Caenorhabditis elegans: one gene and its partner. The protein of the gene in region 1 purifies or fractionates together with the protein of each later gene. This does not show direct contact. Each region holds a gene or a part of one and is shown on either strand. Other genes may lie near its edges.

Region 1 (7,949 bases):
CTGTAATAAATTCTAAATTCTTACCACTTTCGAGCATTCAAAAGCATAATTTCAGACAAGAATTTCCAGACTCCCAGAGGTCCGTTGCAGAATTTGAAAGCATATTCTTGTAGCCAATGATCTCAGCTTCCGTTTGGCATATGTGGCGTCTCTAGGTACCTCACCCCTAAGCTGACCTAGTCAGAATTTTCATTGATTTTTCATAAAGAAGAAGTCGTGAGAAAAACGATGAATTGATGAAAATTAAGCAGAAACGAAAATTCGAAACTACATTACTCACTGCTTTTCGAATTTAACAAAAATATTGCCATACCGAGACCGGCAACTGTATTTTTGGCGGAAAAGTATTATCTAAAGCATAAACTCACCAAAAACCGCAACTGTCGCAACAAAAGATAGCAGAATTACGAGTTTCATGTTGATTGTGTATGTTTGGCTTACTGTAAATGAAATTTTTTTTTTCGAAAGAAACAATTATAATTTTAAAAAATCATACGTTCTTCTCGATCTCTAGAACCGAAGAAGTTTGGGTGGCGCTGGAGGGTGACGCGGCAAGAATGAGTAGCTCTCGGAGCCGCCGTTCAGGCCACGCCCTGCTCTAGGGGGCGGGCATGCGCAACAAGGGCCGTCACGAGAAAGAGAAGGAAAAAATAAGGATGACCTATGTGCCCTTCTAGAACATTGAAGATAATCAAAAGCGATGAAAAATTGATGACGTCATCAGCTCGCCGCGAAAAAAGAGCGGCGTTGCGCGCCAAAAGTGTGAAAGACTGAAAGTGTTATCAGTACCATGTAAGATAGGGGGGGGGGGGGGGGTTTATGTCGAGAAGGCATACACAGGTGGAGTCTTTCAAAATTAGACACAGAAATTATTGGAGAAGAATAGAGCGGGGCAAACACTATTTTTGGGTTTCCGTGTTTTTTTTTCCGCTTCGTTTTCTCTTCCAGTGACGCATTGTCTCTGAATTGGAAATACAAGAGTCTCACCTATACCTGGAGGCCTCCATGGAGGTCGTAATGTTTGTCGGAGTAGAGTTATTACGGGAAAATATTTTACGCGCAAAATATCTCGTAGCGAAAACTAATGATTACTGTAGCACATGTGTCGATCTACGGGCTCGAATGAAATTAAATTAATTCAAATCATTTATTTATTTATTTAGAATATTAATTGAGCGAAAAAATGTAATTAAAAATTCATTCCTGAAAATCGAGATTCCGTAAATCGACACAAGCGCGCTACAATAGTCATCAGTTTTCGCTACCTTAAAACTTGCAAATTTCCGCGACTTTTCAAACCAATCAGCGACTTCGAACTCCGCCTACTCGATCTGATTGGCCGGAATATGGGGCGGAACGAATCTCTGTTCGGTCGCAGTTCTAATTTTGGAGGGAGTTACGGACATAATTTAATAATAGATTAAATATTAGAAGAAAACAGAAAAATGGCAAAAAATACGAAAAGACTATACCAAATTGAATATGGCTGTCACAATTCGAGCAGAAATTCGTTTCGAGAATCGAGCCCGTAAGTCAACACAAAGGCTACAGTAGTCTTTTGAAGAATTGCTGTAGTTTTCGCTGAGCGTCAAATATGTTGCAGCAATGAGAGTTACAAACTACAGTACTCTTTAAAGGTGCATACCTTCACATTTAACAAAAATAGTCGTGTCGAGACCGTATGCCGTAAATCGACACTGATAGCCGTGGCCTAGTTTTCCAGATTTTTCTTGTGTTTCTCTTCCATTAAAAAAACGCACATGTCTGTTTATCTTTCTCGTAATAATTTTCCCGATGAACTAGTAAATATAAATATCTCATTTCCAGTATCATCATCATATCCGTGACCTCTCGTCTTTTCGTCACAAAAGTCTCCAGATTGCTCGGAGCAGCTGTCACAACATCAAAAATGAGCTCTTCATCATCTTCTAGAATTCACAATGGTGAAGATGTTTATGAAAAGGTACAAAATCAAAAAGTTCGGCCAGCACGCAAATCTTTTGCGGAGAATTTTAGACCAAAAATTAAAAAAAAAACCGAAACATTTTTTGAAAAAAAACTTTTTTATTTAAAATTATCGAAAATACTAAGTTTTTCTGAAAAAAGCTGAAAATTTGAAAAAAAAACTCTATAACATGTAAGAATTTTTGAAAAAAACTAAAAAAAAAATTTTTAAGTCTCAAAACAATGTTTTCAACTATTCTCTTTCAGGCGGAGGAATACTGGAGCCGCGCGAGCCAGGACGTCAACGGAATGCTCGGCGGATTCGAAGCGCTTCACGCGCCCGACATATCGGCGTCGAAACGATTTATTGAAGGACTGAAGAAAAAGGTATAGAAATCATCGATTTTTCAGGAAAAGCAAGAAAGATCGGTTTAAAAAATTATGAAATTTTATTTTAAAAATCGAAAAATCAACAAAAAAAATCGAAATTTTAGAATTTTTCTAAAATCGGTAGTTTTCGAAATAAAATAAAAATGTTATTTTAAAAATTATTTTAAAAAATTTCGAGAAATTCAAAAATCGAACAGAAATGTTCGATTTTTTGCTACAGTGCATTTTTTTTCCACTTCTACGACTTTAAAGGGGGGCGCATTTATGCGGAAGGGTCTTGCCGTGCACATAGTCATCATTTTTAACAAAGTCTGCTCAAAATTCGCGGAGATCACGCGTAGATCACAATTAATTTGTGAAAAAGCAACAGAAATACGAAATATGGGATAAATATTTTGTGATCTTCATGTGATCTACGCGAATTTTACACAGAAACTGCTAAAAATGATGACTAAATGCGCGGCAAGACCCTTCCGCATAAATGCTCCCCCCTTTAAAGTCGTAGAAGTAGGAAAAAATGCACTGTATGGTGAATTTGAAAATTTTCTAAAAATCCGAATAATTTAGTATATTGGGGTTTCGACGAAAAATGCCAATTTTTCAGTAATTTCTGGTCTTTTCTAAAAAAATCTACATATTTCAGATCTCTTCCTCCTTTTCCGAGTTTTTTCGTTATTTTTTCTAAACTCACAGTATATTAGCGAATTTTCAACAAATTCGACAAAAAATTCTGACTGTTTTCTAGAAAAAAAAAAAGGCGGCATGCGCAAGTTTCAAAATTTGCCGCACACCTCTGGGCATTACCTTGAAAGTATCAATGGAAAAGTGTCGCAAGATTTAATTTTCTGATATTCCCCCCCCCCCTCCCGTTTTACTTGTTTCTAGGTTTGAGTTTACTTAAATTAATAACAAAACTGGGAGATATATGCTCGAAAATTAGACAGAATCTCTGCCTGGACGATTTCTAGGCTACGCCGTCATTCCCATAGTTTTCATAATCTTTCGGCTCAGTGATCGAAGCTCGCCGCGCCAGCCGGCACAGTAAGATTTAAAATCAGGTTATCACCCCATGCGTGAAGATTTTTTTCGTGTTTTTTGTCTGAAAAATAATGACAAATCTGTGTTTGGGTAGGCCTAATGAGGTCACCTGATTACGGCTGATGAGCAAAGCAGAACTTTTTTTGCAAAAAACTTATCATTGGGGGGTTCTGAGAAATAGACGAATTTCTGAGAAAGTTATGAGAAATAAATAGACGGCCTAAAAACCCCATGGCCGAAGCTTTTTTCTAGATAGCATAATGATGGCCTAGAAAAAACTCTACCACTGGAGAAACTTAATCGGTGTGCTCATTTTCTACCTGGTCGGGGATTTTGGAAAACTTTTCCACACCTCGTAACGACTTGAGGATAACTCAGCTCTGTCGAAATAGCATCCTGATGGCCTAGGAAAAGCTCTTCCACTGAAAATGTTTGGTCGTCCTGTCTATTTCTCTCATGGTCGAAGATTTTCAAAACTCTTCCACAGCTCCGAACGACGACCTGTAGTCACGATCAGGATTTGGAGGTCAATTCTCCTCGTACGATATCTTCTCACCTGAAAACTAGGTGAATTCCGTCGTGTGGAGCCTGAACGCTTCCCATTTTCACGTGACCGAAAATTTTGTAAGACCTCTTCCACCTCGAATTTCTCGGCAGAAGTGGGGTACTGTAATCTCAATTTTCTGGCAGATGCTCCAAAATGTTAATTTCTGTAATTTTCGAATTTTCGATGCACCATGTCTGAAATAATACCAGCTGGAAGAGTTTTCCAATTTTCTAGGCTACGCGGCAATTTCTGACCTTTTAGAAAGTTGTTGCAATATAGGTTTGCTATGAAAAATTCAATTAAATCTTTTTCCGAGTCTTCTTTCCCGGAAATCAAATAAAACGCCGAAACTTTTTTCTCATTTTCTTTTGATGGAAAATGAGAAAACACGGCAGATTTTCAATATTACTTTGGCACCCAAAACGCTTTTTGTTTTCAGAGAATGATTCTTTCTTGTTGTTTGCCAACGCACGCCACACATTACCACATATGACGAATCTTCCGCTTGTTTCGAAAATGACTTTCAATGGGGAGAGAAAGGGGAATATTCTTGAAATATGAGGCAAAAGTTGCGATTTTTTTGGAGTTGACTGATGGGAAATGCGCATAAAAAGGCGGTGAAAGGCTAAAAGTTTGTAAATCTGGTGTAAAAACTCGGATCCTAGAAATATACCCAAATTTAATGAGGTCTGAACTGAAATTTTCTGTATTTATTTTAAATTTATTATACTCAGAGAAGGAGTGAAGGTTCGGAATTTTTCTATAGACCCTATTTATTTTCCTGATTCCGAATATCAATGTGAAAAAATTAAAACAAATTTTCCTCATTTTCATAAATTTTTGTAACCAAGTGTGAAATTCAAACGACAATTTTTGTCGCTTACAAAAATTTATATAAAATCAGGGAATTTTTTTTGAATTTTTCACATTGGTATTCGGAATCAGAGAACATAAATAGGGTATATAGAAACATTTTCGTTTTCCTTTATTTTATAAATTCTGAAATTTTCGTATAAACCACGACACGGCTAACAAATTTGCATGAAAGTTTTTTAGCCTTAAAAAAAACAACATTGAAAGAATGATGAATAATGGTTTTTGACGGAATATAGGCGATAAACGCCAAAAAGTGTCTATCGTATAAATTTTGAGACTGACGGGGGCTATACGTTTATGAGCCGTAGAAAATTTTATTTTCATCAAATTTTTATGAGATTAACATTCGGTCGAACATATAGGGGTTTTCAAACCCCGATTTTGAAAGTATAGGCCCAAATTGTGCTCAAATAAACGAATGTCGTAATAATACTTCTCAAAAATGGTTCAAAGTTTTTTATGTGGCTCAAAATTTCGAAAAATGGCCCAATTACCGAAATTAGACTTTTCGGCAAACGGGAAAAACGGCAAATGCAAAATATTTTTGCCAACTTGTGGGTTTGCACATGTTTTTTTGTTGGAAATTTCAGAATTTCAATTTTTAAAACAACAAAATTGTCCTACATCTATTCTGAAAAGTCAGTAAATTCTATAAAAATATCTGAAGAAAACGGGAAAAAAAATTCAAAAAAGCACTGTGTTTCCGTCTTAATAAAAATTCCTTTGAGAAATTCCTGCAAATTGATATCCGGCAAACGGAAAATCGTCAGTTTGCCTGAATTGAAAATTAAATTTAAAAAAGGTAAATTCGGCGAACCGGCAAATTGTCGTTTTTGTCAAATTTTCGGCAAATTCAGAAAATTGACAATTTGCCGATTTGCTTGAAATTGCCGGTCACCCCTGGGCCAACTTTGAATTTTATAAATATTTTCCAGAATCTATTCGGCTACTTTGACTATGCACTGGACTGCGGAGCGGGTATCGGACGTGTTACAAAGCATCTCTTAATGCCATTCTTCTCGAAAGTTGATATGGAAGACGTCGTCGAGGAGTTGATCACGAAAAGTGATCAATATATTGGAAAACATCCACGAATTGGAGATAAATTCGTCGAAGGACTGCAGACGTTTGCACCGCCCGAACGACGTTATGATTTGATATGGATTCAATGGGTTTCAGGGCATTTGGTTGATGAGGATTTGGTTGATTTCTTTAAAAGATGTGCGGTAAGCACTAGATAGCACTGAAAACTGAAAATATGTTGAAAGTTTATAAATAAGAGGGGGTCTTATTTATTACGTTCATAAATAAAGCATGTAGTTTTTAAACAAAATTCTAGGTAATTGAAATGCTTTGAGTAAAACAGAAAAAAAAATATTTTCGATGCTCCGGTTATTTTTTAAGCGAAATAAAATTGGATTCTTTCTGTAATGAAAAAATAGTAAAAAACAATATTCAACCGAAAAAACTGAGTCTAGAAAATCTGTATCGGTTAAAATTTTTTTTTAAAACAACAATTTTTCACATTAAAAAGTCAATTTCGTACATTTTTTCCGATTAAAAATTTAAATTTAAAAATTAAAAACATTTACTTTTTCGATTTTCTTTCAAAAAAAACCACTGAAAAATCCGGAACATTCGGATTTTTTTTCAATCAATACGATCTCCTTGATTTACAACCTGTTTTATTAAATTTTCAATTTTCCTTTTTATTGAAAAAATCGGGTTTTTAAACTTATGTCCGGTCATTTCCCTAATTTTCAATTTTAAAATTAAACTATTTGCTTACCTGTAATTACAATTTTGACCACAAAACAGAAATTGAAATTTTTCGATTTTTCAGTTTTTTAAAAGATAAAACCCGAAAAACGTGCAGGCCTGGTGGTGGACTCAAAAGTTGAGAAATCTCTGAAAACTGTTTCATTTAAAATAATTCAATTTTTTTAAAATTAATTTTCATTTTCAGAAAGGACTGAAACCTGGTGGATGTATTGTGCTCAAGGATAATGTGACAAATCACGAGAAACGGTTATTCGACGATGATGATCATAGTTGGACGAGAACAGAGGTGCTGGTTTGAGAAAAAATAATAAAAACTTTGAAATTAAAAAAAATTCACAAAAGGCTCATTTTACAAATTATTCTGCAAAAAAAACATTCGAAAACAATTAAAATTTTGAAAAAATGAGAAGGGTGTGTCGATTTACGACGAATTTTTGGACAGTTTGTACAGTTTAAAAAATTTTTGTTTTTGAACCAGTTTTGCCAATTTTTCAAATATTCGCCGAAAAACGGTTCAAATTCACAAATTTTAGCCAAAAACTGTATAAACTTGCCCACGTGTAGTACAAAATCGTTAGTGAATCGACATGCATAAAAAACGCCAAATTCCGAAATATTTAATATTTAAAATTAAAATTCATTTAAAATTGTTGTTTCGTCTCGAAATTTAGAAAATATATTCTGAAAAAGGACATATTTCTTTTATTTTGCCAAAAATTTCAATGTTTTCACCCAGACTCGAAATTTCGCGATATTCGGGTCAAAAATACTGTAATTGGGGTCTCGACACGACACGTTTTTGCGAAATTCGAGCAGGCGTGCACCTTTAAAGAATACTGTAATTTCAAACTATTGTCTCATAGTTTTTTGTTGAAAAGTGATTTATTTAAAGAGAAAAACTATGAAAAATATATGAAAATTCCACAGAAATGAAGTTTTTAAACTACAGTACTTCTTAAAGACACACGCCCGTTTGTATTTCACAAAAATTGTCGTGTCGAGACCCCACTTACTGTAATTTTAGCGCGAAAATCGCAAAACGTCACGTTTGGATAATATCGAAGACAATTTGCACGAAAACAATTTTTTACTAAACATTTTTTAAAACAATTCATTATTCAGCCCGAGCTTCTTAAAGCGTTCGCCGATTCTCAACTGGACATGGTCTCGAAAGCACTGCAAACCGGATTCCCAAAGGAGATTTATCCAGTAAAAATGTATGCATTGAAGCCTCAACACACCGGATTCACCAATAATTGATTTAAATATCGATTTTTATTCGTTTAATTGCAATTTTCCCGAAAATTTCATGTTTTACATGCGTGCTCACGTTATTTCTGTTAAATAAATGTTAAGCAATATTTTAGATGAT
Region 2 (3,427 bases), on another chromosome or scaffold:
CAACATGGCAATTAATTTTTTTAATGTGAATATTGGTTTCTTTTTTATTTCATTTATTATGCATAATTTTATGCTAAATAGTACACTTCGTTATTAAATTTTTTCAAAAAAAGATTAGTTTATTTAAGTAAATATTTATTTTAAATGCAAAAAAATGCAATTGAGCGAAGAGAAAGAGGCGTTGACGGAGAAATAAATAGAGAAGTGCGGCAGAGCGCTCTTGCATTGCACACCGCTCAACAGATTTTTCCTTCAATTCCTCTTCTTCCTTTGCTAAATATTTCCGTTATTCCTGTTATGACACGCATCGTAAAAATAACAATTGATATATTTCTTCCAGGGTAATCATGCTAGCCGGTAGTCAGGCTCTTCGCCACCTTTCTACTGCTGCACAAAACCAAGGGTAAGTGTGTAAAATAGATTTTTCTATTTAATAGTATTTTCCAGAGCTTGCGGTCCTGCAGTCAAGCTTCTTCTGATTCAATATGGTCTGGAAAATCGAAAAATTGATGGAACAGGCCCAAAAAACAAAAATATTCTGAAAGGCGATGTTATGAAAATAGTTGAAGCTGAAAAGCTGAAGCCGGTGGCTCATCATGCACATGCTCCAAAAGAAACACATATTGAAAATAAATCTATTGAAAAGGTTTGGAAAAATGTTTCAAAAATTACATATTGTTTTGTTTTGCAGAAATCAGACATTTTCGGCGCCAACAATCGCAGTCTCCGTCATCACCAAGATATTCCTCTCAGCAATATTCGAGCAACAATCGCAAAACGATTGACAGCTTCTAAAGTAAAAATTCGAAATGTTATTATTGGAGAAAATATTTTATTTCAGCAGCAAATTCCTCACGAATATCAAGGTGTTGACGTTCGAATTGACGATATTCTGGCGTTGAGACAGAAATTGAAAAAATCCGGAACTGCTGTTTCGCTCAACGACTTTATCATAAAAGCCGCAGCCCTTGCACTGAGGGTAGGCTTTTCAAAATTTCTTCGTAAATGAGAGCTCTATTTCAGTCCGTGCCGACAGTAAATGTTCGATGGACTCCAGAAGGAATCGGTCTCGGATCAGTCGATATTTCGGTCGCTGTGGCTACTCCAACCGGCCTTATCACTCCAATTGTAGAGAATTCTGATATTTTGGGCGTTTTGGCGATTTCTAGCAAAGTGAAGGAGTTGTCGGGATTGGCGCGAGAAAGCAAATTAAAACCACAACAGTTCCAGGGAGGATCTTTTACGTGAGATTTATTCTATTTGTTTCGGTTACTTCAAATATAATTACAGAAATTATTGAAACGTTCACAACGTTCAAAAAATGTATCCACATCAAACAACTTCTAGAGATCTTTGAAGTTTTTTATGTTTCTGTTCTAATTTCTCGTAAGAGAGAAGAATTGATAAAGAAATCACATGATAATCATGCAAATTTAAAAGCTATCATCCCGAAATGATACAAAAATTAGAAAATTTCAGAATTTCGAATCTTGGAATGTTCGGAAGTGTGACCAACTTCACAGCCATCATAAATCCACCGCAATGTGCCATTTTGACGATCGGAGGAACTCGTTCTGAAGTTGTATCTGTTGATGGACAATTGGAGACACAAAAATTGTAAGGACTGATACCTAGGAAATTAAAAAAAATCTCTGCCATCAAAATTAAATAATCCCATCAGATTAATATGTATTTTTTTCTAGAATGGGTGTCAATCTTTGTTTCGACGGACGAGCAATCTCCGAAGAATGTGCAAAACGATTCCTTCTTCACTTCTCCGAATCGCTTTCTGATCCGGAATTGCTCATTGCTGAACCACTTTCTCCAGAACTCGATTTTGATTTTTCGCGTTTATTGTAGTTTCGAATTAGACAGGATTCTCATACTCTTCATAGCACCGATGTACTCTAATATTAGATAAAATGAAGTCGAATTTTTAATTTGAATGCAATTCGAAATTTGAAAACACTTTCCGCGTGAATCGCCCTAAAAATATCGCGTCGTCCAACATTTTCTTCCACAATTTTCGATTATTTTCAAGATGTCCCCTTCACTTCTTGGTTCATCATTTCTTCGCTCAGCTTCTGGCAACTTCACAAAGTTCGCAAGTATCCGAAATGCACACTTTTTGTCATCGGTTCCAATGAAGAAGCGTGGAGTTGATGGAAATCTACCAAAAGATTATTTCGAAAATAAGGTAGGACTGAATAATTTAAATCACCTATTTACGTTGCAAAATTTATTTTCAAAAATTGAAAAAAAAAGAATTTCAGACAGTAGTTGTCTACTTCTCAGCTGGATGGTGTGGATCCTGCAAATTTCTGACTCCAAAGATCAAGAAATTCTACAATGCTGTAAAAGAATCGGATGCTGGAAAGAATCTGGAAATCGTATGGGTGTCGAAGGACAAAGAAGCAGCCCACCAAGAAGAATACTATGAGAAGAATCTTCCAGACTGGCCATATATTCCATTTGGAGATGAAAATATTCAGTGAGAGAAATTTCCAAAATTTATACTGAAAAAAATTATAATTTTTCAGAAAGCTATCGGAAAAGTACAAAGCAGTGGTGATACCGGTTCTGAAACTCGTTAACTCCAATGGAGATGTCGTTCATGATCGTGTCCGTGCTGACGTAGAAGCTGGAATCAAGGCGGATCCTGTGAAGACTATGGAGGAATGGAAGAAATTGTTGAATCAGTGATTTACACAGATGACTCAACTAGACTTGAATATTATGTACATTTTAGTAGAGAAAACATTGATTATGGGTTCTTTTAAGTAAATAATTTCCATTACAATTTGTTCTTTTTCTCACCAATATTTTCCAGACGAACACTAAATACAAAAAATGCATTCTCGAAAATTCTCACATATATTCCCCATATACATCCTGTTATTCTCTCCCATTCCGCTCACTGAACAACAGCATCAGAAATAGAGAGTCTGAACCTACACGACAACGAAAATAATGATAATGAAACGAGAAAAGCACTAAAAATGGGCAAGGCGGTGTGTGGTTGCTATGGGATTCCATCTCTTTCCCCTCTAACTGATTAGAGAAGCAGTCGGGCAAAAAAAATATTGAAAGGAAAAGTACGCGGTTTTGTTTGGCTTCGTCTCATTTTTTCGTATAGTCTGATGTTCTAATGTTGATGGCAAAAGACATTATTGAAATGGAGGAGAGCGGTGGGTTAACTTCTAAAATTGCTATTTTTATTTCAAAATCTTAGTTTGTGGTAATAAAAATATGAGAGGACGTATGGCAGATACATAATAAGTATATGTATTTTTAATGCAAAAATGCAAGAATTTAAGATATGGGCGGAGACTGTTGTGCTAAATTTCACATTTTATGGAACTGTCATTTTAGCAGAAAGTATCGAATGCACAAAATGTAGACAATGAATTGATAGAGTTGCACTTAT

Evidence for each region.
Region 2: the proteins of homt-1 (region 1) and C30H6.8 fractionate together in Caenorhabditis elegans (co-fractionation; one large-scale study listed by BioGRID). This does not show direct contact.

Annotation. Positions count from the first base shown.
Region 1 is NC_003279.8:4,109-12,057, reverse strand, and holds homt-1 (Alpha N-terminal protein methyltransferase 1), read left to right. Parts: upstream 1-1,827; 5' UTR 1,828-1,909; coding exon 1,910-1,963; intron 1,964-2,211; coding exon 2,212-2,331; intron 2,332-5,730; coding exon 5,731-6,021; intron 6,022-6,761; coding exon 6,762-6,863; intron 6,864-7,699; coding exon 7,700-7,837; 3' UTR 7,838-7,942; downstream 7,943-7,949. Other genes in the region: nlp-40 (Peptide P4), read right to left, coding at 369-417. UniProt on the Caenorhabditis elegans protein: Alpha-N-methyltransferase that methylates the N-terminus of target proteins containing the N-terminal motif [Ala/Pro/Ser]-Pro-Lys when the initiator Met is cleaved.
Region 2 is NC_003282.8:17,380,288-17,383,714, forward strand, and holds C30H6.8 (protein-disulfide reductase), read left to right. Parts: upstream 1-2,041; coding exon 2,042-2,197; intron 2,198-2,273; coding exon 2,274-2,491; intron 2,492-2,540; coding exon 2,541-2,703; 3' UTR 2,704-2,792; downstream 2,793-3,427. Other genes in the region: dlat-2 (2-oxoacid dehydrogenase acyltransferase catalytic domain-containing protein), read left to right, coding at 348-403, 448-646, 692-796, 842-979, 1,024-1,244, 1,480-1,617, 1,704-1,860; C30H6.12 (BESS domain-containing protein), read left to right, coding at 3,149-3,188.